4 linked regions of the Tamandua tetradactyla genome follow. The protein of the gene in region 3 purifies or fractionates together with the protein of the main gene of each other region. This does not show direct contact. Links are inferred from orthologs where the notes say so. Each region holds a gene or a part of one and is shown on either strand. Other genes may lie near its edges.

Evidence for each region.
Region 1: the proteins of NRP1 (region 3) and BCS1L purify together in Homo sapiens (affinity purification with mass spectrometry; 3 studies listed by BioGRID and IntAct, counting the BioPlex papers as one, with this or other methods). This does not show direct contact. The link is inferred for Tamandua tetradactyla from reciprocal best matches to the Homo sapiens genes NRP1 and BCS1L.
Region 2: the proteins of NRP1 (region 3) and KDR purify together in Homo sapiens (affinity purification with western blotting; 7 studies listed by BioGRID and IntAct, with this or other methods). This does not show direct contact. The link is inferred for Tamandua tetradactyla from reciprocal best matches to the Homo sapiens genes NRP1 and KDR.
Region 4: the proteins of NRP1 (region 3) and PLXNA1 purify together in Homo sapiens (affinity purification with western blotting; 4 studies listed by BioGRID). This does not show direct contact. The link is inferred for Tamandua tetradactyla from reciprocal best matches to the Homo sapiens genes NRP1 and PLXNA1.

What each region holds. Positions count from the first base shown.
Region 1 is NC_135329.1:194,195,353-194,202,285, reverse strand, and holds the start of BCS1L (mitochondrial chaperone BCS1), read right to left. Parts: upstream 3,003-6,933; 5' UTR 2,865-3,002; exon of another isoform or gene 2,864-2,864; intron 1,712-2,863; 5' UTR 1,664-1,711; coding exon 1,344-1,663; intron 1,253-1,343; coding exon 1,113-1,252; intron 924-1,112; coding exon 729-923; intron 482-728; coding exon 418-481; intron 186-417; coding exon 16-185; intron 1-15. Other genes in the region: ZNF142 (zinc finger protein 142), read left to right, coding at 5,244-5,526. UniProt on the Homo sapiens protein: Chaperone necessary for the incorporation of Rieske iron-sulfur protein UQCRFS1 into the mitochondrial respiratory chain complex III.
Region 2 is NC_135345.1:55,464,950-55,472,741, reverse strand, and holds the start of KDR (vascular endothelial growth factor receptor 2), read left to right. Parts: upstream 1-4,777; 5' UTR 4,778-5,061; coding exon 5,062-5,128; intron 5,129-6,275; exon of another isoform or gene 6,276-6,295; intron 6,296-6,900; exon of another isoform or gene 6,901-6,919; intron 6,920-7,792. UniProt on the Homo sapiens protein: Tyrosine-protein kinase that acts as a cell-surface receptor for VEGFA, VEGFC and VEGFD. Plays an essential role in the regulation of angiogenesis, vascular development, vascular permeability, and embryonic hematopoiesis.
Region 3 is NC_135327.1:217,832,361-217,839,245, forward strand, and holds the start of NRP1 (neuropilin-1), read left to right. Parts: upstream 1-3,873; 5' UTR 3,874-4,170; coding exon 4,171-4,237; intron 4,238-6,885. UniProt on the Homo sapiens protein: Cell-surface receptor involved in the development of the cardiovascular system, in angiogenesis, in the formation of certain neuronal circuits and in organogenesis outside the nervous system. Mediates the chemorepulsant activity of semaphorins.
Region 4 is NC_135335.1:29,437,726-29,444,684, reverse strand, and holds the start of PLXNA1 (plexin-A1), read right to left. Parts: upstream 3,006-6,959; 5' UTR 2,993-3,005; coding exon 1,766-2,992; intron 1-1,765. UniProt on the Homo sapiens protein: Coreceptor for SEMA3A, SEMA3C, SEMA3F and SEMA6D. Necessary for signaling by class 3 semaphorins and subsequent remodeling of the cytoskeleton. Plays a role in axon guidance, invasive growth and cell migration.

The sequences.
Region 1 (6,933 bases), on a different chromosome or scaffold from region 3:
GCATCCCTCACTTACTCTCCACAGCTAAGTCTCGACTAAGAAAAGCCGCATCCACGTCCTCCAGAAGCACTAGGCTCTGCTGTGGGGCCACGCTTAACAGGTGGTTGAGCCGGTCATCAGAGAGACTGGAGTCTGTGAGACTCAGCAGGCAGATGCTGTGCTCCAACTCCCCAGCCAGGGCAGTGCTGTGGGGGTGGAGGTGAGGGGTGGGACAACAGGGTGGTAGGCAACCTGAGAATTTTTCCTTGGGCCCTGCTGCTCTCTCCTAACTGTCCTGGGAAGTGTTTCTCAGAGGTCTTCCCCACCATCCCACCCTGATGCTCACAGATCTAATGTTTATCCTGAATCCTGGTCCCCTGATTTATTTCCCTTCCCATCCTTAACCCAGTTTTTCTCCAAAGACTTGACTCTACTCACATAAAACTGCTCTTTCCACATCCAGGGGGCCCATAAAGCAGGTAGCCACGTCTGTAGGGAATGCCTAGGAATACACTCAGGATGATAATCAAGACCTAAAATCAATCATGCACATTGCCCCAGATACCCATTTTCATTCTCAGTCCTGCCCCCCAGAGGCCTGATGACCTTGGTATTGGAAGAAATCATCCCTGCAGTCATCTTCAAAAGTCAGACTAGAGCTTTATACTTATTCCATCAGGCCACAAAGTCCAGCCTGTTCGCTCCCGCACAACATGCCCAAAAGTGCCAAGACCTCAGCTGCTTCTCACCTCTGTCAATATACCATTTGGGGTTATCAATGAATTCCCGGATATCTTTGACAATTCGGTCAGCCAGACCCTGTCCGAGAACCACAGAGTTTAGCGGCCGCCGGCGACGTGGATAGCCGAAGGGGCGCCATTCAGAGCCCATGGCTGTGTACATCACTGTCTTCCCTTCCTCTTGCTGCAAAGCTAGCTCTCGAGCTAGAAGGGGATAGATGAGCCAAGGTCAATAATTCTTTGCTATGACTGGTTTTTCAACTAGGCATAAAGTTGGGCCTACACAGTTTCCCTCTGGCTCCTCTCCAAGGCTGTGCTTCCTCTCATGTCAAATTTCCTGACCCCTGTAACATCCCCTTCTCCACAATAAAACCTGCCTGTGCCATCTCATACCTTCCTCCAGGATACTGAAGAAAACCTTGCGGTCAGTGCCCAGGGCTGTGAAAGTGACAGATTCCCAAGGAGTCCCGGTCTGCAGGTCTATCATCTGCATTTCTCGACTTCGTACCACCCGGATCCATTTTCCCTGATACCTAAATAAGAAGGGCCAAAATGGGGTGCATGAATGGGTCAAACCCATTCTCATTTTCTACTCACAGAGCCCTCCCTGGCTCCCAATCTTACCAGATAAAGTGGTTTCCAGGACTAGGGACAAACTCAAACTTGGTGGAGATGCGGCCACTCTCATGCTGAAGGTACGAAGTCTCCACACTGAGGTGCTGAGTACGGGTACTGTGGCGGGTGAGCCAGCTAAGCAACCAAGCATAGCTCCTGTCTCGAGCAGGGACTTCCAATGTGATCATGTAATGGCGTCGGAATGCCACCAGGCCCAGCTGGGCACCCTTCCGGGCCAGGGCCAGAGCTGTGCCCACACCCACCAGCCCAAATCCAGCCCCAAAATAGGGGTTGTCTTTCAGGGCCAGAATAAAGTCTGAGAAGGACATCCTGAAAAGGAAACACCAGTCTTACAGGTCCTGAGGCCTTATCAAAACCTGGAGGTGGGTGGCAATGGAAATGAGACAAAGTACAAGATTAGTTTAGAACCTAGACTCCATATACCTACCCATTCCCTCCTACAGAGGCTGGGAACAGGAAGGACAGGTCAGCACTACTGTGTTTCAATATCATCCCTTTTTGGGGTAGGGGCAAGGGCTAGAGAACTAAGACTCCGGGCCCCTTATATCATTAGCCTGCTCATACCTGTTTCCTGCCACAGGATAGTGTTTGGAGAGTCCTTAAACTCGAGGAAGCAATGTAAATGGCTTGACATCAGGATTATAGGTGGATAGACTTTTCATGGTACCTGGGACCAGCTGAGATAGAAAGCTGAGATAGACTCCTACTGGCTGGAGTCAGTGAGGGGTAAAGGAGTTACTCTCTTCCCTTGTTATCCTATGCCTTGTTACAGTGAGTAATGCCTTTCAAATATCCTCCCCTTTTCATACTCAATTCTTAATGACCTGCTCTGTTTAGATGTATTATTTCCCACTTGGAAATGGCCTCTTGAAGGGTCTCCACCTCCTGTTTAACCAAATTGCTACACACGGGATCAGACCTTTCTTCACCAATCCTATCACTTCCCTGCTCTAACACGTCCAACAGACCACTGAATTATGTACAAACTCCTCAGCCTGGAACTTAAGATTCCCCACAACACGACACCCACCTACCTTTCCTAACTTAGCATGAATGCACCCAGTTCAACAAATATGCAAACAACCTCCCACCTCCTTGCCCACGCAATTCTCTCGGTTCGAATGCCCGTTCTCCTTTATTCCCTCCATTTGGCCAATTGAAATCCTGCCCATCTGCTAACTCTTCCATGGAACCTTTCCAGAATCCTACAATAAAACGTGACCGGGTCGAATTCTAGACTGTAAAATCCCAAAGCGCAGGGGCCAAAGCGTTTCTAATAACCCTCATCCTCTCCACTTTGCCCTACACGCAGGGCGGTGAAATGACAGCCGTGACCTCAGCTAGAGTTCAGAGCCGGGATCCAAAATTATACATAGAAGGCCGGAGACAAAACCTCCCCACCCCAGGTTCAGGCCGGACGCCCAGTAACCAGCTCCCGAACCTCGTCCACAAACCAACTCACGCCTCCAGCAACGTGGTTTAGAATAACCCATCACCCCACCCCCTTACCGCCATGACTCTCTGGCCCTTCCTCTCGCTGCCCCTCCGCTCTTTGGGGGCTCCACAAGGAACCAACCCCGAGCTCTCGCATCTACTTCCCGCCACACCCATCGAGAAGGCCCTGCCGCTCTGCCCCACAATTCTCGATGGTAGTCCTTGGGTTTTTTTGCACGGCCTCCGGTGGGAGGAGGGAGGAACTATAGAGAAAACCATAGACTACCCCGCCAGCCGCCCACAAGAAGAGAGAGCGGCCTCAATCCGCCAAATTTCTTAGAGGCGGCTGGGCCGAAGGCGGTCGCACAAAGGGCGCCCCGGGAGACCGCTCCAGCCGCGGGTTGACCATAGAGATGCGACTCCCGCCGGCCCTGGGCCGGGAGGTGAGTGACTGCCGGGCGGCCGCTGGGAGGGGGTGCGGGTGGACCCTGCTAGCGGCAAAAGTTTCTCGAGCTCGAGGTGAGAGTGGGCCTGGGCGGTGGGGGTCTCCGGGAGTAGGTGTTGAATGAGCATGCCGACGAGCGGGGTTCTGCCACATGACACCCAGCCTCCCCAGCGCCTCAGCCGCGTCATTGCTCTGGTTCTCGCCCGGATGCCCGCTGCCCCCAAAGGACCGTAATCATGACGATGCGCCTCCCCAAGCCTTGCAGATTACCAAAGACCTTTCCCATTCGCCGGCTCTTGTGATTCCCGCTACCGTCGAACTATGTAGGCGCTGGCATCGCCTCCATTTTACAGATGGAAAAACTGAGGCTCGGAAAAGCGAGGTAGGTGACTGTAACTGTCCAAGGTCATACGATGAGTCAGAGTCCGAGGCAGATGAGAACACGGGTACCTTGGTCACCAGTTCTTCCTTTTGCCTTAATTTAACCTTTCCGTAATGCCCATAACCCCCAAATAAGCTTGTCTCTTCTCTCGTATCCACCTCACCCCGCTTTCTAGTAAATAAAGGTTCTTAGTGTAAACTGCACCGGCTCCTCGCTGAGGCCATGTAAGGCGGAGCTGGAGGCTTCTCTAGAGCAGAGATTATGTTCAGTAAGTGGAGGCTGCGGTTTCCAGAGAATCCTTCTGACCATAAAAGTGCACTTCTCCTCCACCTTCTGAAAATCGAAATTTTGAGTGGCAAGATTCTGGACAACAAGGAATATCATATCGTAGGATCTTGGTTTCTTTTTTATGCATATTGCTTTCCACCAGCAGCCTAATTTCTCTCTAGCCTTTGGCCTTTATAGACCTTCCATGACTTGATTTCATGGAATGATTTTATTCTTATTAGTTGCTAATTACTCAGCTTAAACTCATTTTACCCATGTATAACAGGATATGCAATTTAACAGTCATTCATTGCTCGGATGTGTTCCAGTTCAATTTGAGATCATAGTGTAGTCAATGAGCTTGACATTTCTCCATATATATTACTTTCTATGTGAGGAACCATCTGGTTACCAGGATACCTAGCTCTGTTCCAACGCATCTCAGTGTATACAGTTCTTCACTAGAATCCCTTTATTTGTCTGAATTGCATAGATTGTTGAAGGTTTGTGTTCAGTGAAGTGATAAGGTTAATAAGCTCCACTCAGAATCTAGAAGGGAGAATAGTAGGTAAACAACAGCTCTGTGTGTCATGGTCTCTCATATGGCTACTGTGCACAAAGTGCCACTAGGACCATGGAAGAGAGAAATTTAGGTTAAAAGTGTCGGGAAACTTCCATAGTGAAAATGATGTTTGTGTAAATTCTTAAAGGATAATTTGGTGTTGGTTAGGCAGATGAGAGAAATGGAGAAGGGGAAATTTTACATCAGGCCTAGAGGAAAGTACGGACAAGGGTGTTGCAAAAGAAAATGTGGTGTTACTACACAATGGCAGATCTTCTTATATGGCTGGTTGAGAAATCGGGTGAAGGAAGAGGTAGAAGATGAGTCTGGAAAGGTCAGCAGGGGCCAGATCATGAAGAGCCTTATAGCCATGCTAAGATCATAAAATGTTAGAGGAAAAGGTGCCTCTGAGATCCTTTGACCCTGCCCAGATGAGAATATTGAGAACCAAATTGCTTAATAATTTGTCCAGGGTCACTTAGCTAATATTACCAAAGCATGAAACAAAACCTGCAGTCTTTAATATATTGGCCAGAATTTGTTGGTTCTCTCCTAATATTGGCTCTGTTTATAAACATTTTTATGCTTTTTTTAAAAAACATTATTATTAAAAAAAAAATCTCTCTTTAGGTTATTAAGGTACAGCATACTACATGTAGGAAAATACCTAAATGGACAGAGATGGGGCTGGGCACCCACAGCAGGGAAGAAAATGAGAGCTCTAACTATATTTTGTTTTGATTTTCTTCTAACTAGCTTATCAGCACTTAAGAGGCTGCAGCACCCAAATTGGTGGTGATGACAGACCCCGTGTTGGACTCACAGCCACCCAAAATCACTAAGGAGATGGAAGGTCTGTGCCCTGAGCTGTTGCTGATCCCCCCACCTCTCCCTAACCATGGAGTCCTGGAGGGGCCCATGCAGAACCCCTGCCCTTCTGAGAACCTCACACCTCTACCTGCTAACCCAGGCTGCCTGCTGGTAGAGGCCACAACAACTGAAGAGGGCACAGGAAACATGGAGATCATCGTGGAAGCAGTAGCTGGAAACCTGTCCCCAGGTACTCCTGGAGACACCCCAGGTACAAACAATTGCTAGCGAGCCAGTGGGACAAGCAGCCCTGAGGTTCTCTCTGTGCTATTTTCTGTATAAATATGATGCAAACACGTAGTAGTATCCTATTTTTATACTTCAAGATGTTGTAATTTGGTTTGCAGTTGTTGAATGTTGATTGAATGCTGGTGAAGTACACAACCTTGAACCAAGCTCTGGCAATCTTTTTCCTTCAAGAGCTCGGGATAGGGCTTCATATCTGCTACCTCTGCCCAGTTCAGGCTTGTCCTTACTCTTATAGTCCTTGGGGATTCTTTTCCCTAAATTGACTCTCCCACCCAGGAACTGCAGCCAGGGATTAGGCAAAAGACCCAGCCTCTCTCTACCACTTGGAGCTTGACAGGGCTTCCTAGAGGTAATCTGGTATTTACCCACCCTAGTTTCTTGTACATAACATAGTTCAGTCATCCAAGACATATTTTAAGAGTGGAAGTTGAGCATTTATATTTATTTTAGGGGAAAGAGTCTCTTTATTCTTCCCATGTCTCCAACTGCTTATTTTTTTAGAAACTTCCTGGTTTTTTAACTGCCATCCTCCAACTACAGTTGTCACCACTTCCCTTGGTAGTGTAGTGTAGTGACAAAAATATTGGGAAAGATTAGCTAATTTGGTCATATAATATTTCTAAACTTCCCTGTGGTAAAAGAAACCACAAGAGAAAAATACTGAGAAAAATAATTACACTATACAAGAAATAATTAATCTTTAAGATTCAAATAGCTCCACAATAAGAAAAAGAAAGCAGTAAAAATATGGAAAAAAGAAATGTGCATGCAGTTCACAAAAAAAGAAGAAATAAAAATGATCAGTAACCAAATAAAAGGATGCATAATCTCACCGACACACAAACTGTAATACCTAATGTTGGTGAGGATATAGGAAATAGACAGTATCTTACAGTGCTTGTGGAGAGTATGAATTAGTGTAATTCTTTGAAGATAAGTTTAGCTATTTATCCAGTTATAAAATATGCATATTCTGACACAGTAATTCCACTTCTAGGAATCTGTCCAATAGAAGAACATATATGCACAAGGATACAGGAATAAGGATGTGTAGGGCAGCTTTATTTGTAATGATTGGAGACAGTCCAAATGTCTCTCAATAACGGCAGAATTTTATTATGATTTATTCATGCTCTGAAATACCATGAACTGGGCAAAAACATAGGAGGTAGATTTAAATATACTTGTATATAAAAATGTCTTTGACATATAGCAAGTGAATTAAAAACAAAGGCAATAGTGTTCAACCTCGCCACCACCCCCTCAACCTTTTAAAATATTTTTAAAACTAATACTCTATATAGAGGTATGCATGGAGTATGTGTTTGCGTAGGAAAAGGCCTGGAAGAATACAGAACAAACTGGGGGT
Region 2 (7,792 bases), on a different chromosome or scaffold from region 3:
CTTTTTCTGAATTGATGAAAATGTTCTAAGAAATGATCATGGTGATGGATACACAACTATGTGATGATGTTGTGAATTATTGATTATATACCAAGAGTGGAATAATCATATGGTAAGAATGTTCATGTTTGTATGTTGTTATTTTTTAAAAAAAGAATTAAGTGAGCAATGAAATAAAGCATTTAAAACAGTAACTGCTCAAAGGATGTGCTCAATAAACGTTGGCTGTTTTTATTATTTTCTGGCATCCTTCTCTAGTACTATATGGATTTGCAGCCAATTATTTAAATTTCCTGCATACTTCACACATTTTTAAATTGTTATTCTTTTTTTTTTTTGTATGCTGTATGACGGGGTCACATTTCATTCTTTTTCCATGTGAGTATCCTGTTATTGCAGCACCATTTGTTGAACTTTCATTTGTTTTCTTTTGTTTGTTGCTTACTTGTTTGCTTGTTTTGCAGAAGTGCATGGGCTGGGAATCGAACCCAGGTCTCCTGCATGGCAGGTAAAAATTCTACCACTGAACTACCCCTATGCTTATTTTTTATCTCCAAGTATGATTATTTCTACTTGGATTGTTATATTTATTTTTACGTGAAACACCTCAAGAAATTATGTGAAGGAATTTGGATAGGGAATATATGCATACATATTAATAGTAATTGAGATTTTGATGTTTCACAAAAATGGGGAGTTTCTTTTACAATTATTAGAACGTAAGACTTTATGAAGAAAACCTAATACCAATGAAAACATCCAAGGCAAGCATGGCTTTGTGATGACATGGTCATCTTTTTCATTAACATAAGAATATGTTCTAAGTAAAAAATGTAAGTTACACAGGGACTGAAATAAACTTGGGTGTTTAGAGACAGTAGACAACAAGAGATAAAGAATAGGTTCCTAATCTCTGAAGGCACATAGTCATGAGCATGGATGGGCTATGAAACTGAGTTGACATCTGCAAAGGTGGTTTAAGGCTCTGGGAAGTTATAAAATAAACAAATGTTGGGAATAAATGAAGTACACATGAGAAAATTTCATGCAAATATATAATCAATAAATGACGATATTTGAAAATAATGTCACTAAAAAAGAGTTGGTCTTATTGATATTTTTTTATTTGTAAAAATAATACATTCCTGCTTGAAAAATGTCATAGAAATGCAAGAAGTAAAAAGTTCAAATTCCCATCTATCTACCTCTTTGCATCAACCATTTCCCAGAGATAGGCATTTGTTGGGTGTGTATCCTACTAGCTATTGTCTACAAATTTTCTATTATGAATGTATATCTATGTATCTCATCTCTATTTGTAAATCTATTTCTAGATCTGTATTTTATGCCAAAGAAAGATAGGAAACACTTTGAACACCTGATATCCATTGTGGTGAAAACAGTTTTCGGGTGATGGGCTGTGTATGGAGAACATAAATAAGCCAGATAATTACAGGCCTTGTAACAAGTTCTTCTAAGAGATTAAACATCTATTAATAAATCCTTATTATCACCACTACCATAGGTATAAAGTATTTTACAGTTTACAGAGCACTCGTATGAGATTATCTCATTTGATTCTCATAGTAATCCTTGAAGTGAGCAAAGTAAGAGTTATTATTTTCATTTACAAATGAGAAAACTGATGTCCAATGTAATGAAAGGATTTGCTTAATATCACTCCAAATCCATGTTTCACCATATCAAGTCTGGCACTGGAAAAGTCAGTGGTATTATATTAAATGCACCAAGCATCATTTTGATTATTGTTACTTAAAACAAGAATTTTTTTCTATCATAGAAACATGCAAAAGTAGAGGATAGTAAAATGAACCTTTATGTATCTATCATCCAGCTTTCACTATTATTAACCATTTGCCAATTTTCATATATATTTTTGAATATATGGAGTCTAATGTGCCGGTGATGGTCGTGGAACCACATTTGGGATATATGAGGTGTAATTTGTTCAGTGGGCTTTGGTGATATACACAATGTATTGTGTGCACAAATGCCTAGAAGTAGCTGGAGATACGCAGAACCTTGTTATCATATTAAATTTGCTTGGGCTGTTGTGATGCCTGCTCATTTATGCTCTTATCACCTTTGGTTTCACCATTGTAACCCCAGTTCCTGACACAGTGTTGTTGAATGAATGTGTTTTATTTGCAGTTTCAATTTAGACAGCATGAAGTGAAGAAGATCGTGTATAGTAGTATAACCAACCTCTGCAGAATGCTTCTTGGTGTGTTTCAGGTGCTAATTATAGCTACGATCTGTGCGTACCAGGTGCTAGGTCCTATTCTAAGTGCCTTCATGCAGTAACTCATCTGATTCTGACAAAAACCCTGTGAAGAAAAAACCATTATGATCTTTTATATTTTGTAGGTAAGTAACCAGTAATTTGGTCAAATCACATGGATAGGAAGTGGGAGATCTTGGAGTCAAAGTCCAGGCAGTGTGGCCCCAGGATCTGTGCACTTAGCCACCTCTGTTTGTTGCTCCTGTGCAATAACGTGTCTGAATATCATCTACGGGGCATTGAACACATTTGGGGTATTTGGTAGGTGGTGGTCCTACCTGTACTCCTGGATCAACTCACAAAATCACTCCTTTGCACTGGTGCCAGAGAATGGGAGAGGGTTGCACATGGAACAGAACTTTTAATTTATTTTAAACAGACTTTCTCATTTTTCATGAACACAAGGCACTTCTAAGTGCTGTGTAGGAGGGAATGTGGCAGAATGATTTCATTGAGACCCTGCCAATTTCTGGTCTTGCAACCATCAAAGACGCATCATTTCCTCAAAGACTTCTAAAGGGGGCTATTACCATGTGCCTGCAGGTTCTGGTTTGCATTTGGAGGAGACACTATCTTCCTAAGTGAGACATGGAAAAGGAAGTGTCACAAATTGTAAATAAGGTTAAGAGGCTGAGAGAGAACAATTGTTTGGACGTAAAGATGGAGAAAAATTTTCTCCAAACCAGGTACCATCTCTCTCTCTCTCTTGGCTGATTCTTTCAGAGTCCATCTTGTTTTACTTGCTAAATTTATTAGTGGGAAGAACGGAATTTTTTAAAGAATTTTCCCACAACTGCCCAAGCATGAAAACAAAATAAAAACCTCCTAGATAAATATTAGTACATCTATTCAATGTAACACCATTCCACCATTAAAAAGAATGAGATGCAGCTCTAAGGGTTAATAGAGAATGCTCTCCAAGGTATACTTTTATAAAGTGAAAACAGTCAAGGCTCAAAACAGCATTTGTACCAATGCTATCATTTATGGAAAAAAAAGGGTGATTAATCTACATATGTTCATATGTGCATAGAATTTGCTTGGAAAAAGGAAACCAGTTAAAAAGCTTGCCATTGGTGAAGGACGGTCTTTTCACTCTAAGCCTTTTTGTATTTTTCAAAATACTTTTAACCATATATACTAGTTATATTTCAAAAAAAGTTAAAATATTTCGATTGTCAACTTGGAAATAGAAGAGCAAGCAAATATTTTTAAAAAGTGGAAGAAAAGCAACATTTTAATTGTGTTTTTCAGGAGGAGGGTTTGGGACCAGATGTAGGGTCAAACAGTAATTCTACCTCTCCATCTCGCTGAAGGATGGTCCTTTCAGTTCCCATTCCTGGGAAGTAAGAGGCAGAGGGATTAGGGAGATCTTGATTTAATGAAGTTAGGGGGCATTTCATGTCACTCCCCAGGTGTGGGAAGAGATGGATAGAAAACAAGAAGGAACAATGAGGGCGGAAAAGAATGGTAGCTTCCCTCCAACCATCCAAGAAATGTACATCTGTGGTGAGAGTCGTGAGCTTTGTCCATGGAGTGTCCAGAGTACCTACCTAGCTAGGAACTTTCACTTAATTGCTCTCAGCAGAGGCTGGCCTGCTATACTTCCTTTCCCTCGGCCTCAGGGTATCTTGGCTTGGAAGTTCTCCTTTGAAAAGGGGCCTGGCCAAGGACCCAAGAAGAGTCACGCTGGGGACTGGCCGGTTAACAGGGTGGACAAAAGCCCTTTCTCAAGGAGAACCTTACGAGAGAGACGGGTGCCCCTCACGCCTTAGGTCCACCCAAGCTGGGTACCTCCACCTCCTGTGAGCCCTGATGTAGGTTTCTGGCCTGGAGCTAGGCAGGACCAAACGTGATGCTTGCAAGCTTAAATGCCTTCTGGGGCTCCGCAGTTAACTTCAAAATACTTGAAGTCGCCAGGTATAAGAGGAAATGGCAGGAACTTTTTGACTAGGAAAATGTATTTTCTGACTAACAGCATTCATATCCAGACTTTTAAACTGTGCAACTGTGCTGGCCAAACAAAATATTTCTAACTGGCTGGAGTCAGTGCCAGTTTGCGACCCCGGCTTAATATCCGCTTCTGGCTGCTTGCTCCAAACTGCGCTCAACCTCAGCTGGTCTCGCAGTTAGTTTAGAAGCGCGCTACAGCGCAAGGGTCTCGAACTTTGACGCTCGGAGCCGGTTACTGGCTTCATGTTACTTCCACCAGAAATGGAGTTGTCGCGCCCAGGACATTCTCTCCCGGGCGACTCGAGGTCTGCGTAGTCCTGTGCAGGTTGGGAGGGGAGCTGTAGTGGGCGTGGCGAGCCCGGGATCCCAGCGAGCGAGCCGGGGGAACACCAGATCCTGCGAGGTGAGGGGCGGGGCCGACAACAGAGGGGCGCCCCCCCCCAGATCCCGCCCTACCTGGCCCCGCCCCCCGCGCTCTAGAGTTTCGGCCCCAGCTCGCACCCGGCACTGAGTCCTAAGACACCGCAGAGCAGGCGGTGTTCTGCCGCTGCGTTCTCTCCACCTGCACAGGGCGTAACTGGCGTGCTGCAGAAAGCTCAGCCGGTCCCGCAGGCGGGATATTCTTTCCACCAGCTCCCGCACAGGTCTTGCCAGCCGCGCGGGGAGCCGGGGCATCCTCGCCGAGTGCGCTTCGGGGTCCTGCTCTGCGGCGCGCGTCCCGGCTCCGCGCTTTGGTGGCCGGGCAGGCCCCGGGCAAGAGAACCGACTCCCGAGTTCTGGGCACCGCGCTGGGCTCGAGGTGCAGGATGAAGAACAAGGCGCTGCTGACCATCGTGCTGTGTCTGTGCTTGGAGACCCGGGCTGTCCCCGTGGGTAAGGACCCCACTCCATGGGAGGGAGCCGAGAGGTCGGGTGCGGGTGGGTGGATGCGGATGCGGGGAGGATCTGGAGACCGATCTAAGTTTGAATCATAGAGCTGGAGAGTTGGGAGAAACTGACACATTTGTGCTGTTCCTTTTACCCAGCGGGGAGATAGACTCACAGACTGGCCCAAGATTGCCCAGCGAGGTGGTCTCCCGAGCTCTAGCGGTGTCTTTTCCAAGGCTCTGGTGTCTGACCGGGACCTCGGCTGGAGCGTGTACTGCGGGGCCGACGCACCCTCGGGCTCCTTGGCGGCGGGGCGGGAAGGCGCCAGGGGCTGACTGGCAGAAGTTACCCCGGCAGGCGGGAACACACAGTGAGAAGCTGTCCGACTGTGCGAACCGTTCTGGGGGGGACCCCGGCGGGCTTGCCAGTCCGGGAAGGAAGCCTTGCTAGGGGAGTAAGTCCTGCGGTACAGCTCACACAGTGCCCTCCGCTCTACCTCGGTGGGAGTGAAACGGGGCCACCGGCTGCCTGTTCCCTCTTCTCTCGGACAGGCACAGCCACTGTATGAGGTGGCGGGGTCCGGGAAGAGGGAAATTTTTACTCTCCATGGAGCAGGACGCCGCTCTTCTTGCAGAAAGGGGTGGGGTGTTGGGGTCTTGGTCCCGGACCCTGTCAGCTTCCCCAAGTGACTAAGCGACAACCCCCTTCCTAGGTAAAGCAGTGTTAACGTCTTTCTAAGCATTTTGGCTCCTAGGTAAGCGCAGGGTCTACCCTGTACCCAGATTTAGCGCCACTTAACATTGCGGTCCCCTTCTAGATTAGGAACCCATAACGTGCTGGATGCAATAGCTGTGTGTGTGTGTGTGTGTGTGTGTGTGTGTGTGTGTGTGTGTGTGTGCGCGCGCGCGCGCGCGCGCCCAGTTGATATTCTTTCTCCATAGCCACAGTTTACTGAGTCCCAGATTCTGTGTCTTGGAAGAGAAGGGGAGAGGGCGGAGAAAAGCAAAATCAGATGATCCAGGGACCCAACTCCTACAGAATGAATCATGTGCCCCTTATGTTGGGGTGACCACTGATGTACTTTCTTACCTCTTTTTTGAAAGGGAGAGAAAATTACTTTTAAGTGCCATCTTATACTTTGTATCAGCCAGTGCTGGAGAAATCGTGAATAACGTATGTACAAAACTTTTTTTTTTTTTTAATTTTCTATTATTTTGAAATTCTGCCTCTTTGGATTTGGGGAACACTGGCTACCCCATCTCTACAGTCTGGGCTGGCAGAATGCTGATGTTTTACAATTCTTTTCCCCACTCAGTTCCCCTCTTCTGGTGAGGTTCCTGTGAGCTCTGTTAGATGGGCATCCTGAAGCTTGTTAAAATGTACCCTCCGTTGGTGCGGTCTCTTTTGGGGGCAGATTGGGAGAAAGAGAAACCAATAATGCAACTGTTTTGATAGAAAAAATTGATAAAATGTCTTTTTGAAGTAAAGAACCAGTCCCTCTAAAAATAATAATAATAATAATTCAGGGGAAAAAATTCTTATAACGATAGAAAAAAAACACACTTAAAGAAGGCACGAGCTCAGTACTAAGATCATCTGTCCATGGTTATTGAATTTTCTTAATCGTGACTTACTTGGTTCTCCAAGCTTAGCTGTGTCACGGCCACTCATTTGTCCCTGACAAGGCCTCTCTCTCCCCCCTTATGGGAAGAGAATGAAGATCTGGAGCTTGTGGTTGGTCTGTAGCCCATAAAGAAGTGAGTTGCTTTTAAGCCTGGGGTGTTTCATAGCACAGCTGTAAGTAACTGCTGAATATAATGGTGGGGTTGCCCTTTTGGAGTGTGTGACTTACTTAATTGGATTGGGCTATAATTGGTGCCATCAAATTCTAGAGACAGAGGCACTGTTGTTTTTCCTTTCTGTCTCGAAGCTGGGGAGGGTAATAGTGCACAATTTAATTAATATGGGTTATGGGATTTGAACATAGAAGGGCTTTTTATTGAGCATATGTATCTCTTATAGCCATTTCTGTAGGATATTTTCTGAAGAATAGGACTCAAACTTGCCAAGGAAAAATGAATGAAAGTTAATGGAGCAAAGAAAAAGAAAAAACTTGAGTGTTGGTCTACAGATAAGAACTTGAAGTTATCATTATTGCTGGCCTTGTTGAATAGATTTTTGTTGTAGACAGGTCTCTAGAACAGTACAGTGTTGTCTTAACTTCTTATAGAAAAATGTCATGGAAAAGGTTTTTTCTCTCTCTTTTTAAATTTGTTTTCTTTTTTTTTTTGAATACTCTGGGGACTTTTTAAAAATTATTTTTGTATAGGAAGATGTGTCAAGAATGTGAGATGATCTGTGGCAATAATATATAAAAGATCTTCAAAATTCTCTTATTTTGATGGGGGGAAGGCTGTCATAGCTTATTTAGAGCCTTGATACTACTCCCATTTTATTCTCACACAAATGTGCCCAAATAATGAATTATTTCCTATTTGAATTATCATGTGAGTTGTATTCAGTTGTTGTTATTGACATTTTTCTCAAGCTCGCATTTCCCAGTCAAATTTGAAACTTTTGCTCATTCAGATGAAATGTTTTCATTTTCATTTTCTTTGGAAAATGGGCTCCCTTATTGGAAGGCTTTTTTTCTTTTGCTTTTAAACATTT
Region 3 (6,885 bases):
TTATTTTAAATTATTATTTTATTAATTTAATTAATTTAAATTCCAATTAGTGAGATACAAAAGATACCTCCTGCATGATAGAGACATTTGACATAGGTGCCATTTTTAACAGAGTTATTTAAAATTATTATTTAATTAATTTAAATTCCAATTTTGGATCTTTTTCCAGTTTCCCTTCTTCCATTCTTACGTCTCAAACATAGAGTAGATCCTACTAAACATGTATTGTTTTACCGCTCTTCTGAAATATATGGGTTTGATAACTCTAAAAAACTTAGCTAAGATAGATCTGACAATTCCGAAATAACAACTTGAATCTCCATATTGCATCAACCTGGAATACTTTGAGGAAGTTAGTGACTCAAATGGCCTTCTGGGAGCAATGAATCTCATCTTACTTCTGACAAATCGATAAGAGTTTGATGAAAGGAACCAAGCATTTACCACCCAGTCTATTCTTAAGGCTGCACCAGCCTAGAAGCTTATCCCAGCAGCGGCTCCTGGGTGGGAGTCCATGGGGCTGGATTTTGCTGACTGAGCCTCAGCACTGCATCGTGGCGTGCGGTGGCTGAATCTTCCTCTCAGTGCAACTGGGTCCTCTCTAGTCTGGGGATATGTGGTGTCAGGGAAGAATGATGTGTCCGTGAGACCAAAATAAAATCAACCTTGGAACCCTGCCAAATTCTTCCCCTATCATTTATTCTTATATAAAGGTTAGTCTGTCTCCCTTGCCGGAGAATTGCAGAAATCTAAAACTGGCCCTTTTCTGCACTTAGTGGAAGGTAACAGTAGAGGAAAGAGGTTGTTAGCAGGGACAATTTACTCTGTACCAATCCACTAGCCCGCAATTGTCAATCAGCGTGGTAAGGCTCTGTTATCTGAACTGTGTTGGAAACCAAGGAGTCTAGAAAAGCCTCGAATCAGCTAAGACCAGGAAAATTAGTGGCAGTACTTAAATATGGTATTTTCCCCAGTGTGCATACTGCTGCCTTATTAGGTGGTTGAAGAAAGCAAAAGTGCTCAGCTGGTGAGCAAGGAAGGAGACCGACGTTTTCTGTGCACTGACCCGCTGGAAGGGCCTCCCCGTGGGAAGGCAGGAGGGAGCCCGCAGGGCTGCAGTCGCCAGAGCCCAGAGGGGGACAGGTCGGGGTGGGGGACAGTCTCTCCCAGAGTGCACGAACCGGTGGCTGTATTTGTTGGCCTGGCGAATCCACGCTGGGAAATGCACACTCAGCAGGGAAAGGGGAAGAGAGACTGGCGGCAGTTTTCTAAAGAACAACACAGCTCAAGTGTCCCGCGAGTGCCCCCTCGCTCACCCCGCCGAAGCTCAGACTGTCAGGACAGACTCCCCGGAGCGCGCTCGGCCACCGGCGTCCTGTTCGGAAGAAGGCGATTCTCTGTGATTCCGGGACGGCCCCGGCTGCTGCACCCGCCCAATTCCCCTTCTCTGTCAGCCTGCCAGGTCCTACGAGCCGCCTCTCCCGGCGATCTTAGGACTGAGGTCGCTGGGGGTCACCCCAAATCTGTTGACGCTGACCCTGATCAGCTGGGAACTGGCTGGCTGAGCCTAGCGGCGAGAGGAAGGCGGGGACGCGGCAACGCGCTGCAGTCGCAGCCCAGCGCCCAGGGTTACCTCCGCGCGAGCGCGCCCTCCGGGGGGTCTGCGCTGGGCGCGGTCGCTCGCCGCTCCCCCTCCCCTCCTCCCCTGGCCGCGTCCTCCCTCCCTCTCCTCGCTCCTTTCCTCCCAACGCCCGCCCCAGGGGCGCAGTTGCTCTCGGGTCCTGCCACTGCCCCTTCCACTGGACCATGCTTTTGACTCCCGGTCGGGTGCCACCATCCCACCCCATGCCTCCCTGGGAGCGCACACTTCATCCCCGCTCCCAGGGATCTGGAAGTCGAGAACAAGGCAACTGGCCAGGGGAAGGAGGCGCCCTGGGCGCTGGGCTGCTTCGGGGCGCCGGGAGGGCTCCGTCTGCAGAATTGCCGCTGGGGTCCCGTGGGCGGAGTGAAAAAAGAATCTTGACCCGTAGTGGCGAGCACCCGGCGTTACCCACCAGTGCTAGAGCCGCGGGGCGCATATCAGAGCCGGCTAGGGGTCCGCCTGCACCTCGAGGGCGCGCGGCGGGGCGCCCCGCCGTAACCCCCCCCCCCCCGCTTGAAACCCTTGGCCGGGGGCCAAAGAGCCGGGGTTGCCTTTCTCCCAGCGCGCCCCAAGCTCTTCCGCCAAAACCTCTGACCAGAGTCTCCTTCCAAACATTCCTAAATCTTCTTTGCCAGCTCTTTGGACCAGGTAGGAATTAGGCTCTGATTTCGGGGTGTATAAATAAACGCCAATTCCCAGACGGTACAATGACCTTTTCACCTTCCCCCACCAACCCCTTGGGAGGGAGCCAGCTGGCATTCACCCTCTAAAGGGCGGATCCCTGGCCGCAACCTGTTTCTCCGAAATGTCCTTGCTTTTCCTATCCGCAGACGCACTCGGACCGCAGTTCTGAAAGCCCTGGGGGTTGGGGGTGGGGTGGGGGTGGGGTGGAACTGGGAAGCTTCCAACCCGTAGTGAGGACGCGCCTTCGCGGTGGGAGGGGGGGAAGGTGGGGAGGGAGTGGTGGGCACGAAGCTAGAGGACCTGCGTGTACCATTGCCTGTTGCCGGGAGCCGGGAGCGCCCTGTCAAAAGTCGCCCTTTCCTATCCCCCCACTCCCACGTCCCACCTTTCCCGGGATGCAGAGAAACAGGGGCCACTGGACCCTTAATTTCCAAACCACCAAGCGCCTGGACACGGAGACAACGCGCTGGGCGGGGTTGGGCGACGGCTGCCCCCTAGCTGGAAGGCACATCACCTCTCACCCTCCAGTGTCCCCGGTGTCCCAGAGAAGAGGTCACCAAATCTCGGGAAACAATGGAGGCCGGCGGCTCGCGGAGGGCACCCGGGCACCCAGGAGCGACTGGAACCCGGCGGCGCACCCTGGTGCCGGGGCGCGAGGTCGGGAGGACAGCAGCCGGGCCTCGCATACCCGGGCGCGTTGCCTCGGTTTTACGTGGCACCTTCGAGACCGCCCCTCGCTCGGCTTTGCGGGGGCGTCTCCCCACTCCAGCCGAGTTGTCCACCCCGTGCCCTCTAGCCCTGGGCCCGAGCGTCCAGCGAGCGCCCGGCTGCTCCGGGCCACAGGTCTCGGGGCCCGCGAGGTGGGCAGCTGGACGCGGAGAAGCCGCGCTCCTCGCCGCCGCCGGCTCCTGCACGGGGATTCCGAGTTGCAAGTGGCAGCCGCCACCTCCCGGGCGCTCGCCACTGCTCCGCCACCGGGGTCCTCGCCGCCCCGGAGCGGGCCCGGCTCTCACCCCGGGGGTTCAGGAGCTAGGCCCGCCGAGGTAGGCTAACCCTACCCTGGCCTTGGCACCGACCTCGACACCCCCTCCCGAAACGCACACGAGCCCTTGGCGCAGAGCCTCCAGCGCCTCCCTTCTCCTGGAGAGCTCTGCAGGGCTTCCAGAGAGACAGACAGACGGAGGGGGAAAGCACACGGAGGCAAACTTGTTCCTCCCCGTCTCCTGTCAGGCAATTACTGGCCAGCTAGTGCGGGGAGAGGGGAGGGAGGAAGCGAGGGAAGGGCTCAAGAAGGGGAGGGGAGGACGGAAGGAGGTGGGGGAGGCGGGGGTGCAGTTGGTGAAACTCCTTCGTCTCCGCTCATCTTTTCATTGCTTGCTCCTCTCCTTCCCGCAGACACTCCGGACCTCCCCTGGGCGCCAGCTTCTCGGCTCCATCGGGTCCAGAAACAATCCGGATTTTTTTTTTTTCTTTCTGGAGATTGGCTTTGCTGTGTTTCCCTCCCTCCCTCCCTCCCTCCTCCCCCGCCCAGCCCCCACTTTTTTTTTTTTTTTTTTGAGACATGGCCCGAGCAGTGGCTCCTGGAAGAGGAACAAGTGTGGGAAAAGGGAGAGGAAACCGGAGCTAAATGACAGGATGCAGACGACTTGAGACACAAAAAGAGAAGCGTTTCTCTCGGATGCAGGCATTGCCTCGCCGCTTTCCTTTCTCCAAGACCGGCTGGAGGATTTTACGGTTCTAAGCGGAGTTGGAGCACTTTGGGTTTTTTAGATCACGCCCTTCGCTGGGTTTTCCTCGCACGTTCTCGTTCTCCCGCATCTGCCTGGGGGTCCGGCGAAGGGAGAATGGAGAAGGGGCTGCCTCTGGTCTGCGCCGCGCTTGCCTTCGCCCTGGCCGGCGCTTCTCGCAACGGTAAGTGACAGGCGGAGGCGCGTCTGACAGCGCCGCGTCCCCGTCCGCCCGCGCGCTTCCAGCCGGGGCTTCGCTGCTGGGAGCAACGGCGAGCGGGCATTGCCCCGGGCGAAGGAAACTTTTATCCCGGCGCAGAAATTAGGAAATATAAACAGTCTGTTTGAGGCAGGAGGATTTCCAACCCGCAGGCTCCCTCCCGAAGTTGGTTGTTTGCTTGTGGGGGTTTTCCCACCTCTGTGACAAGGCAGAGCCTCCAACCTTCCCAGATCAGCACACCAATTATCTTAATAATGTTTCCTCCCAAAGGCAATTAGACGAGACTCCCTTTCAAAAATCTGATGGCAGATGAAAGTTAATGAACACTTTACCAGGAGAACTTCCTGGTTCTCTTGCAGCTCCCCCGAACTATTTCCTCTGCCTGGTGCCTGCTGGAGATACCGGTTTCTAGGTTTAAGGAGCCCCCTCCTACGCCTTTGTAAATCGTCCCTAATCCAGCTGGAGTTTGAATGAAAGTTGCGTAGTGTCAATAAAGGAATCTGATATATACAATGTAAGACACCCGGAGATGTGAAAATCCTTAGTCTACTTGCAGTTTCCACTTTGCTTTTAAAGCCACTCATTGTTAAGTAAATGAAAGACTGTGAGAGGGGATAAACAGTACCATGTAACATAAATAACGTGTTATATAATGTGATCTGACCGTTAGGCATGTTTGACTTCCACTGTAGAGTAAGTGAAGGCAAGGGATATCAAATTATCTTTACAGTGAATCTTCAGCAATTATTATTAACTAATGAGCAAATATTTACTTTCATCTGGCTTAGATTTCAAGCAAAGTAATTAGAAGAAAAGGACATCCACTACTTACTGTTGTATACCGTTCGAATAAGAGACCACAAGTGGTCTCTTATTCACTCCAAGAGCAATTTTAATCACATCTTTATGATGAAAGTTAATCTCTCTAATACGTTTTTGGAGGTTTTACATTTAAGCAAGCCGTTCCCTCAACAGCTACCAAGGAGAGTTAAGGAGAGTTCTAAAAGACACGCTTGGAAATAAATAGAACACACGTACAAACTGTGAATGTGGAGTTTACCTTGCTGATGAACCTGAGTTGGCCTCTTTCTACGCTCTGGCAAGGAACGAAATCATGTTCCTCTCCAACTCAAAGGGCTCAAATGATTAGGCTTTAGGAATCAGTGTAACCCGCCCACGGCCCTCCACAACTCCTGAGAATAAATCAGCAGGGAAGATGTTCCCAAGATGCATTTGAAACCTGATGGAAAACGCTTTCAGACTTCAAGTTGTGAATTCCATAAATTATATACATATGTATGTCAATTTCTTAATTTTCTTAGTGAAATCTGGGGGAGGAGACCCTAGCTCTGCCAGCAAGCTTGACTAGCTTATAGCTATGGTGCTATGATTGGAGGACCCAGAGCTGGTAAATGCCACTGTTGCACAGCAGACCTCTGAAAGCCATGTCCACCTCCTCTTAGTACCAGTGTCTGCTAAATTAATTCATTAGCCTTATTTAGGACTAATGGTCCAGAGTCATTAGAAATTGTTCTTTCTTAATCAACTGTTAGAGAGATTTAACAGAGTCAGGGAGTCTAGCCGTCCACATTATCTTATTACACTGTCACTTTCTCAGAAGTCACAGATTAAAGAGCTCTGGTGTGGTACTGAATCCACCTAAATGTCTTCTGAAGTGACTCTGTTGAGTGACTAGAAGCAGCGCTGTTTTCTTTCACTCCTCTAACAGATGCCAGACACTGCCATGTTTGAACAGAGCTGGAGGAGACTTAATGAGACAGGGGCACTTTCCAAGTTTTCTGCACCTTTAAAATAATGCAAGAGTCTCCACAGGATCACATAACGGAGTCCAGTATGATCATTAGCTGAGATTCTGGACTCCAGTTGCAACATCATTTCTTCTTGGCAAATCTCAAGCTTTTGAAAGCCAAGGCAAAGGAAACCAGCATAAGACTACTCTGATCTAAGAAGCATAGTCAGAAACCTCCAGCAATTGAGAAAATACAGTATAATTTATATTGTGTCTTTTTGATTTATGGGAAATGATTTCTGTAATGCATGTAGCTTTATGCATTTTTGATGTGCACTTCATCTTTCATTTCCATTTGACCTGGTTTTCCTGTAATAAAATTCTGTAGATTTATAAATTCACGCTGAGAGCAAAGAATGCCATTCACTTTCCACAGGGAATCTATTAGATGCAATATTAAAATCTATATATACCATTACTGAAACTTTGTGATTGATAGGCTTATATATTTCACTATTTTCATACCTGTTCCTCTTACATAGTTTATGCACTGACTTTTTATTGCTCAAAATTAAGCATCAATAAATGTGGCGGCATTGCAGACTAAGGCTCTCCAGTAGGAAATCCGTCATAAAAAGTGACAATGAGAATCCATGCTGAACAATAAAGCAGCCCAGAGCCGGGTTTATTTGGCACTCAGCGAATCGCTTTAGCTTTTTGGGTTTCTCGAAATGAAAGCTCAAAACTGGTAGGCTCACCTTTCCCAGGATGTGAGAATGTGGCTTGCCATATGTGACACCCGGGCCTCAATGTGGCAAAATTTTTTTTCAAAATTTAAGGTAATTAGAATTAATGCTGGGTG
Region 4 (6,959 bases), on a different chromosome or scaffold from region 3:
GGGGTCCCACTGGACAGATAGAGAACCCGAGTCTTCAGCAGACCAGTGTGCTGGCAGAGGCAGGCCTCGCTCGTGGACCCCCTGTGCCCCCTGACCCAGCCCTTGGGGGAAAAAGGAAAGTGTTCAGCTCTCAGCTCCCAAAGAAGACAGTCCGGGGGATGGCAAGGGAGGGAAAGACCAGCTAACCAGGCTGCTGGGCCAGGTGGGTGGCAGGATGGAAGAGGGGTGGCCTGGAGTGGCCAGGGGAGTCTGGGGTGGGAGGAAGAGACAGAGACTGGGAGAGGAGATGGGGAGGCCGCCAGTGGGGCAGGGACAGGGCGCAAGAGGGTTCATTTAGGACAGAAGAGAACCAGTCACCTGTAAAAGGCAAAAGGGAGGGATCCAGCCAAGGGAAGTGACTAGATACAGGAAAGCAGATAGGTGATCGATAGCACACAGTTCCTGAGGAGGGGAGGTGGGGGCGACACAGGAGGGGGACATTGCAAGGAGGGAGGAGGGCGGGGGACAAAGGCAAGTCTGAAGGTGGGAGAGGGCACAGCTCGGGCTCCTCTGGGCAGTGGGCTGGGGCACAGGGGCATGAGAGGCTGGGTAGGGAGCAGGCAGGAATAGGGACGGCAGGGACAGGTACCAGGGTAGCAGGCAGGTGCCTCAAGGGAGACCTGGGCCTGCCAGGGCTGGGACTGTAAGGAGATAGACGGGCAAGGGGCAAGTGAGGTGAGGCCCCAGGGCTGGGGCTAGAGTGCTCTGGAGCAGGGGAAAAGAGTCGTGGAGAAAGGAGGGAAGGTGAGGGATGGGAGCAAGCTGGGAGAAGAGTCCCCAGGCAGGACTGGAGCACAGAATATACAGGATGCCAGGTCCTGACAGCACACGGCAGACCGTGGCCTGTCAATGACCCTCCTAGCCTCAGTTTCTCTATCTGTCCTGGTGACAGAATACCGTTCTTGAAAGGTCAACACAAGGACGAGCGAGACGCCAGGGAAGAAGGGCCAAAGGGACCCCTGCTGTCCCATGAAGATGAACCAGCGTTCCCTTGTTCCTGATTCACAGGTGGGAACACTGAGGAAGGGCAGGGATGGGCCCACCCGGTAGGCCCGGGGTGGGACGAGCAGAGCAGCCGAAAGCCTGGCTCTGGATATCTGGGTTCAAGTCCAGCTGTCCGGTGCGGCCCTGAACAAGCTGCCCACTCTCTGCGCCTCAGGGTGTCTGCTGATGAAACAGGGGTTCCTACCACCCAGGGTGCTGGGTGCTCAGAGCCTGGCACGGGCCCCATCGTGTCCTGCTGAGCACTGCATGTGCGTCAGGCCAGCCTGGGTAGACGGGGAAGGACCCAAGAGAGGTCCAGGTACACTGGATGCCACGGCCAGGCCCACATAGCACGTGACGGGCAGAACCTGGACAAAAGGGCAGCTGGCGTGCTCGCTACCAGCCGTGTGGCCCTCTCCTCCCTGAGCTTCGTGCCCTCCTCTCTGACCTAGGGACACCACCACCTGGCTAAAGGGACAAACAGGGTCGGCAAGCCACTCAGCGGCTGCCCCGGCCAAGGAGCCAAGGGAACTGTCCAGGTGGGTGGTCTCCGCGCCCCCTTTTGTAAAGGAAGCACGACGGCGTCTGGGCCGAGAGCAGGCTCCGGAGCCTGGCACAGGTTCTCTGTGGGATGGCGGACATAGTGGCGGCACCCCCATTTCCCCAGCCACCGAGCGTGTCGGCCAAGGACGGGGGTGCGTGGGGCCCGAGGGGCTGGGGCTGGGGCAGCACCCCCACTCACCGAGTTGATGCAGCCCAGCTCCTTGTTGAGCAGCCAGGGCAGGGAGAGCTTGCCCTCTCCGCGGTAGCAGGACTGGATGCGCTCCTTGATCTTCTCCTTGATGGCCCTGAGGGTGAAGAGGCACAGCACAGACTCCTTGGGCGGCTTGACGCGGTTCTTCTGGCCCTGGGCGAACACGGTGAACAGCACGTCCTCGTCCTCGGCCAGACCCAGCTGGTGCGCAAGAGCGCGGCCGGCCCGGCTCAGGTAGGCGTCCTGCACCAGGCGGTACTCGACGCCACCCTGCTCGCAGCCGATGGGGAACTCTACGTATGAGTAGAACTTGGGGTCATCCACGCAGAGCCGCACAATCTTGGAGGTGAAGAAGTGCTCGCCGGCAGCGTCGGGCGAGGTCAGCTGCGTGTCCAGCTGCAGCGTGAGGTAGTACACGAACTGCTCGCTGCGGAAGCTGTACACGTAGTAGATGTCGAAGGCCGGGAACTTGGACAGCGTGTCCGAGGGGATCTTGAGCTGCGACGACACGAACTCGTCCTGGTACACAAAGCCGAACATGTCGGCGTCCTCCTCGTTGGCCATGAGCCGGCGGCTCGACAGGGTGGGGAAGTACTCGGACTTGCCGTCGATGGGCGTGCCCACGAAGAGCTTGGCCTGGGCCTGGCCCGGGGGCCCGGCGATAAGCACGCCTGCCATGCTGCCAGCCTCGCGCACGCTCGACAGGTAGTGCTCTTTGCGGTGGTGCGGCTCGCCCAACTTGAACAGGTCGTCGAGCCGCAGGAACTGGCAGATGCCCTGGGAGGCGCTGCCGCAGGCCAGCAGGCGGTTGGCGGCATAGTCCAGCAGCAGCAGCTTGTTGACGTTGTCGGTGCTGCCCAGGCCGTGGGGGCAGGACTGCACACTGGGCGGCGGGTAGCACTTCTCGTTGTCTTCCACGGGGCCCGTCACGTGGGCCCGCAGCAGCGTCAGGTTCCCCGACAGCTTGTAGATGCGGTTCACGGCGCCCACGTAGACCTCGCCCGTCTGCTCGTGGACCACCAGGTGCGTGAGGCCCCAGTCACTGGCCGCGAAGGTGCGGGGGGAGGGCTGTGCGCCCCCGCCCGGCCTGCCTGCGCCCACCCGAGGGCTGCCCCCCAAAAGCAACAGCAGCACCAGCAGCGGCGGCTGCAGCAGCGGCATGGCAGGCTGGGTCCGCGGGCTGAGGCGCGTGGGTCTCGCGGGGATGTGCATCATGGGGCCGGGAGCCTCAGCCCTGGGGGGACACAAGGAGAGGGTGAGCTGGGGGGAGGGGGATGTGGGGGGAGGGCCCACACACACCGCCTGGCTGGCTAGGAGCATAAGGGGGCCCTCACGAGCTCTCAGTAGCCATGTGCTGTCCAGAGTCCTCCGAGATTGGTGACTGCTGCCCCCCCTCACAGGTGGGTCCTGAGGCTTGGAGGAGGGTCCCCCGGGATGGGCTCGCCAGTGGGCAGGTCCCCCGCCGGGACGACGTAAGCAGGATGCCTGCCTGGCCACGGCTCGCGGAAGCACTTGTCAGGCACAGGGGGGCAGGAGGCGGTAAAGAGGGTCTGGTCCGTCAGCCCTGACTCAAGGCCTTGCTGGAGGAAGCGTATTTGGGCACCTCTACTGCCCTTTCGGGAGGCCCCTGGGCTCAGGGAGGGGGGTGAATAACTGCTCTGCCCAAGGCTGCTGGGGACACGCTCTGTCCCCTGTAGAAGCTCGATGCTGTGGGGCCTCAGTCGGCCCAGGCCCCCCCACCAGGCATGAGCCCTCAGCCTGGCAGAGCCTCTGCCCCACCTGCAGCCCCCAGTGGGGCCCTTTCTGCATGGGGGGGGGCAGAGGCTAACAGTGCCTCGGTTTCCTTTTCTCTATGAGGCATCCCTGTTGTCCTCCACGCCTCCCCAGACCCGACCTCCAGCCCTCACACCTGCCCACAGAGCCTCCCCACAGGCCAGGCACCCCCAATCCCCTGGGGACTGGGCACCCTCCACCCCAGCCCTACAGCGCAGGCCCCAGTCCCTCATTGAAAATGAGGGCTCCCGGGCCCTGGCCCCACCGTGGTGCCCCACAGGGCGGGCAGGATGCACTCCGGGTCAGCCTCCATGGCTCTGGCCCTGTGGCCCCCTGCTGGCCAGCCCCGAGTCCTGCCCTCCAGGGGACAAAGCAAATGCCAAGCCACACTGCAACTTCCACCCCTGGAACCCCCCCCCCCCCCCACTTAGGTTCTCAGCTCTTTCCATCCCTTCAAGCTCGCCACTGGCCTTCCTGCTCTGAGGAAGAAGGAATTTGTTAAAAGGGAAAGGGGTGGTTAAAACGGGATATGTTATGTTGCATTTGTTACTGCAATGCTTAAAAAATGAAACAAAATGTCCCCACAGCAGCGGCCCCTCCCCCTATGTCAGACCCCATGCCCAAGTATGTGCCCATCCTTCCTGGCACAGAAACGTGCCCCACCTGCTGCCCGGCTCCCTGCCCACCTCCCCCTGGGCCCACAGCTCCATCACCCTCACTTCCCAGGTTTAACTTACTACCAGGGTGCCCATGGGGTTCCCTCCTAAATCTGTGCTAAATGGTCTAACCCCCCCCTAAAGCTTTGTCCCTCCCCCCAACCCCGTCAATCACCATCACCCATGCCATGCAGCACCCCCCACTGCCCGCCTGGCCCAGCAACTGGCAGTCAGACTCTGGAGCCAGAAACTCAGAGTAAAACTAGACTCACTCTAGCCCTGGCGGAGACACCCCCTTTCCTGGCTCATGAGGAGCTGTCACATCCACGTGGAGCCAGCAGGGGTCTGTGCCCACCCTGGCTCTGACCCCGTGTGCTGGGGCAGCACCCCTACCCCTGGCTCCAATGCCTAGCCGCAACTGCTCCCTTCCTGTCCTCAAACAGCATCCCTTAGCCAACCCAGTGGTCCATGGTACAAGTGGGGAAACTGAGGTCTCAAAGACAGCCCTTCTGCAAGTCCAGGCAGCCAGCTGCCGTGACACACACTCAAGCCCAGGCCTGGCCTGAGCATTCTGGACTTCCTGCTCTGGGTCACTAGACAAGGCCCGGCGGTCTCTGAACTGAGCCTTGTGTCTGCACCTACAGGATGGGATGCTCCTGCTCCCATCCAGGACCACCGTGCCATCCCTCCTGTCCCTGCAACCTGCCAAGCCCGTTCCACATCAGGGTCTTTGCAGGTACTGTCCCTCGACCTGGAACGCTCTGCCCACTCCTCCTTGCTCCTCCCCCACCCCAGCCCATGCACCTGCTCTAGAAGGGAAGTCCCAGCAGAGAAGGGCCCGGTTCTATGCATCTGCCACTGTATCCCCAAAGCCAAGCTCAAGATGCAGTATGGCTGGATAAATACTCGTTGAAGGAAGGGGTAATTGGGTGGTCAGTCAGGGCTGGGCAAAGCAGGCCTGTCCCCTCACTTTGTCTGTACTGCACACACCCTTGGCCTGGCATACACCCTGGGATGGGCCCACTGCCCAGGTGGGAGACTAAGGCCAGGGAAGCTTGGGACAGTGGCCGGGAACCCCCTTAGGGCCCTCCACCCACACAGCTCCCCAAGAGCAGCAGCTGTCCAGGGACCTCCACGGGCAGACAGACAGAAGGAGAGGAGTCCCGGGCCATCCCAGCTCAAACAGGCAGAGAACACAGAGTGAGGAGCCGGGGTGAAGGCGCCTGGTAGAGGCAGCACGGCTGGGGGTAAGCGCCGAGAGTATGTGAACTCCCAAGAAAACATGAATCACTCACCGTTTATCAGTTCAGAGCAGGCCTGCAATTACCAGGGGCTGGGCTCTTCCCTCCTCCGAGATAATTATACCCGTCTTAATGCAATTACGGGCCCCACGCTTTATGTTCAACAGGAGGGACCCGGCTAAGAAGCCTCCAACCGAACCAGGGCCTGGTCCCAGGGCCACCTGCTCCAACAGAGGCTGCTGGAAGGGTCTGCCCAAGTGCAAGGGGCTGCTGGGCAGGAAAGGGCTGGGCCCACGATGCCTACCAGTAAAGACCCTGAAGTCAATCCCTTACCTTCGAGATGCAGGACTCAGGGCTCAGACAGACCCCCAGACACCTAGCTGGCCCTGGCCCAGCAGGACCAGATCCTGTGCTTCTCCAGAGACCCAGTCAGCCCGTGGGGACTCACCACTGTCCCACCCTCTATCTCAGGCCTCTGCCCAGGCACAAAGCACCTCAGCTCAAATGCATTTATCCTACAGCTAGGCCTGAGTGCTGAGGGCTGGGGACTGGAGGCAGGGTGCACCAATAGATGCTTGGAGGCTCGGGAGAGAACCGAGGTGGCCATTCTGGGGTCTGGGCAGGTTGGCTCCCCCAGGGGAGGGGGCGCCCTCTCCCAACCTGTTCTGGAAGGGCTGTGAGATGCTGGCGGGGGGGGGGGGGGGGGGGCGGGCAGCCTGGGTAGCAGATCGGCACAAGGGAAGGTCCAGAGGACAGATGGATCCATGGAGAGGGAGGCGTGAGAACGCGGGCAGCTTCCCAGCATGGCCGGTGGGGCAGGTGCCGGAAGTCCAGGAGGCAGAGCCAGACCAGGGAGAAGCTGAGCCGGTGCTGGCTGTGCTGATTTAGTGGTTAGCCAGGATAAAAGCAGAGATGGGGGGCCCTGGGCACAGAGGATTCCACTCCCAGAGACAGCAGGCTCAGGCGTCCGGCAGAGCATGGAGACAGCAGTGTCCCCTTTTCCTCCCCCCCGGCCCTGGCTGACTGCACCAGCGCTCCTTCTCACCCTCACTGAGAAACAAAGACCCCCCGCGCCCCCTTCACTGAGGGAGAGGCCCAATCCCCATATCTCTGGGTCTGGACCTTTCTGGAGCCCAGACAGGCTCAGGAAGGGGGGGGACAGGGAAAATACCACCATGCTGCCCAGATGTACCCACAAGAACCCCGAGGGGCCTGCCCACTTGGTTCTGTATTAGTGTACCAGGAGATGGGATGGGATGAGCGAGGAGACCGCGAGGTGGTCTTCCGACTGCTGCTTCTCAGAAAGAATGCCCACCACTCAGGCCTGCCCTCGAGGCCCCTCTTGTCCTGGTCTGTTGTCTAACTGTGCTCTAGGCATGGGGGCCTTGCTGGCATGACCCTAGAGAGGGCTCAAAACCCATGGGCAATGACCTGGGGATGCAAGGGTCCCCGTGCCAGCAAAAGAAGCTGGTTCCTTTGTCCATGGGCAGCCTCCTCACCTGCCTCCCTCCC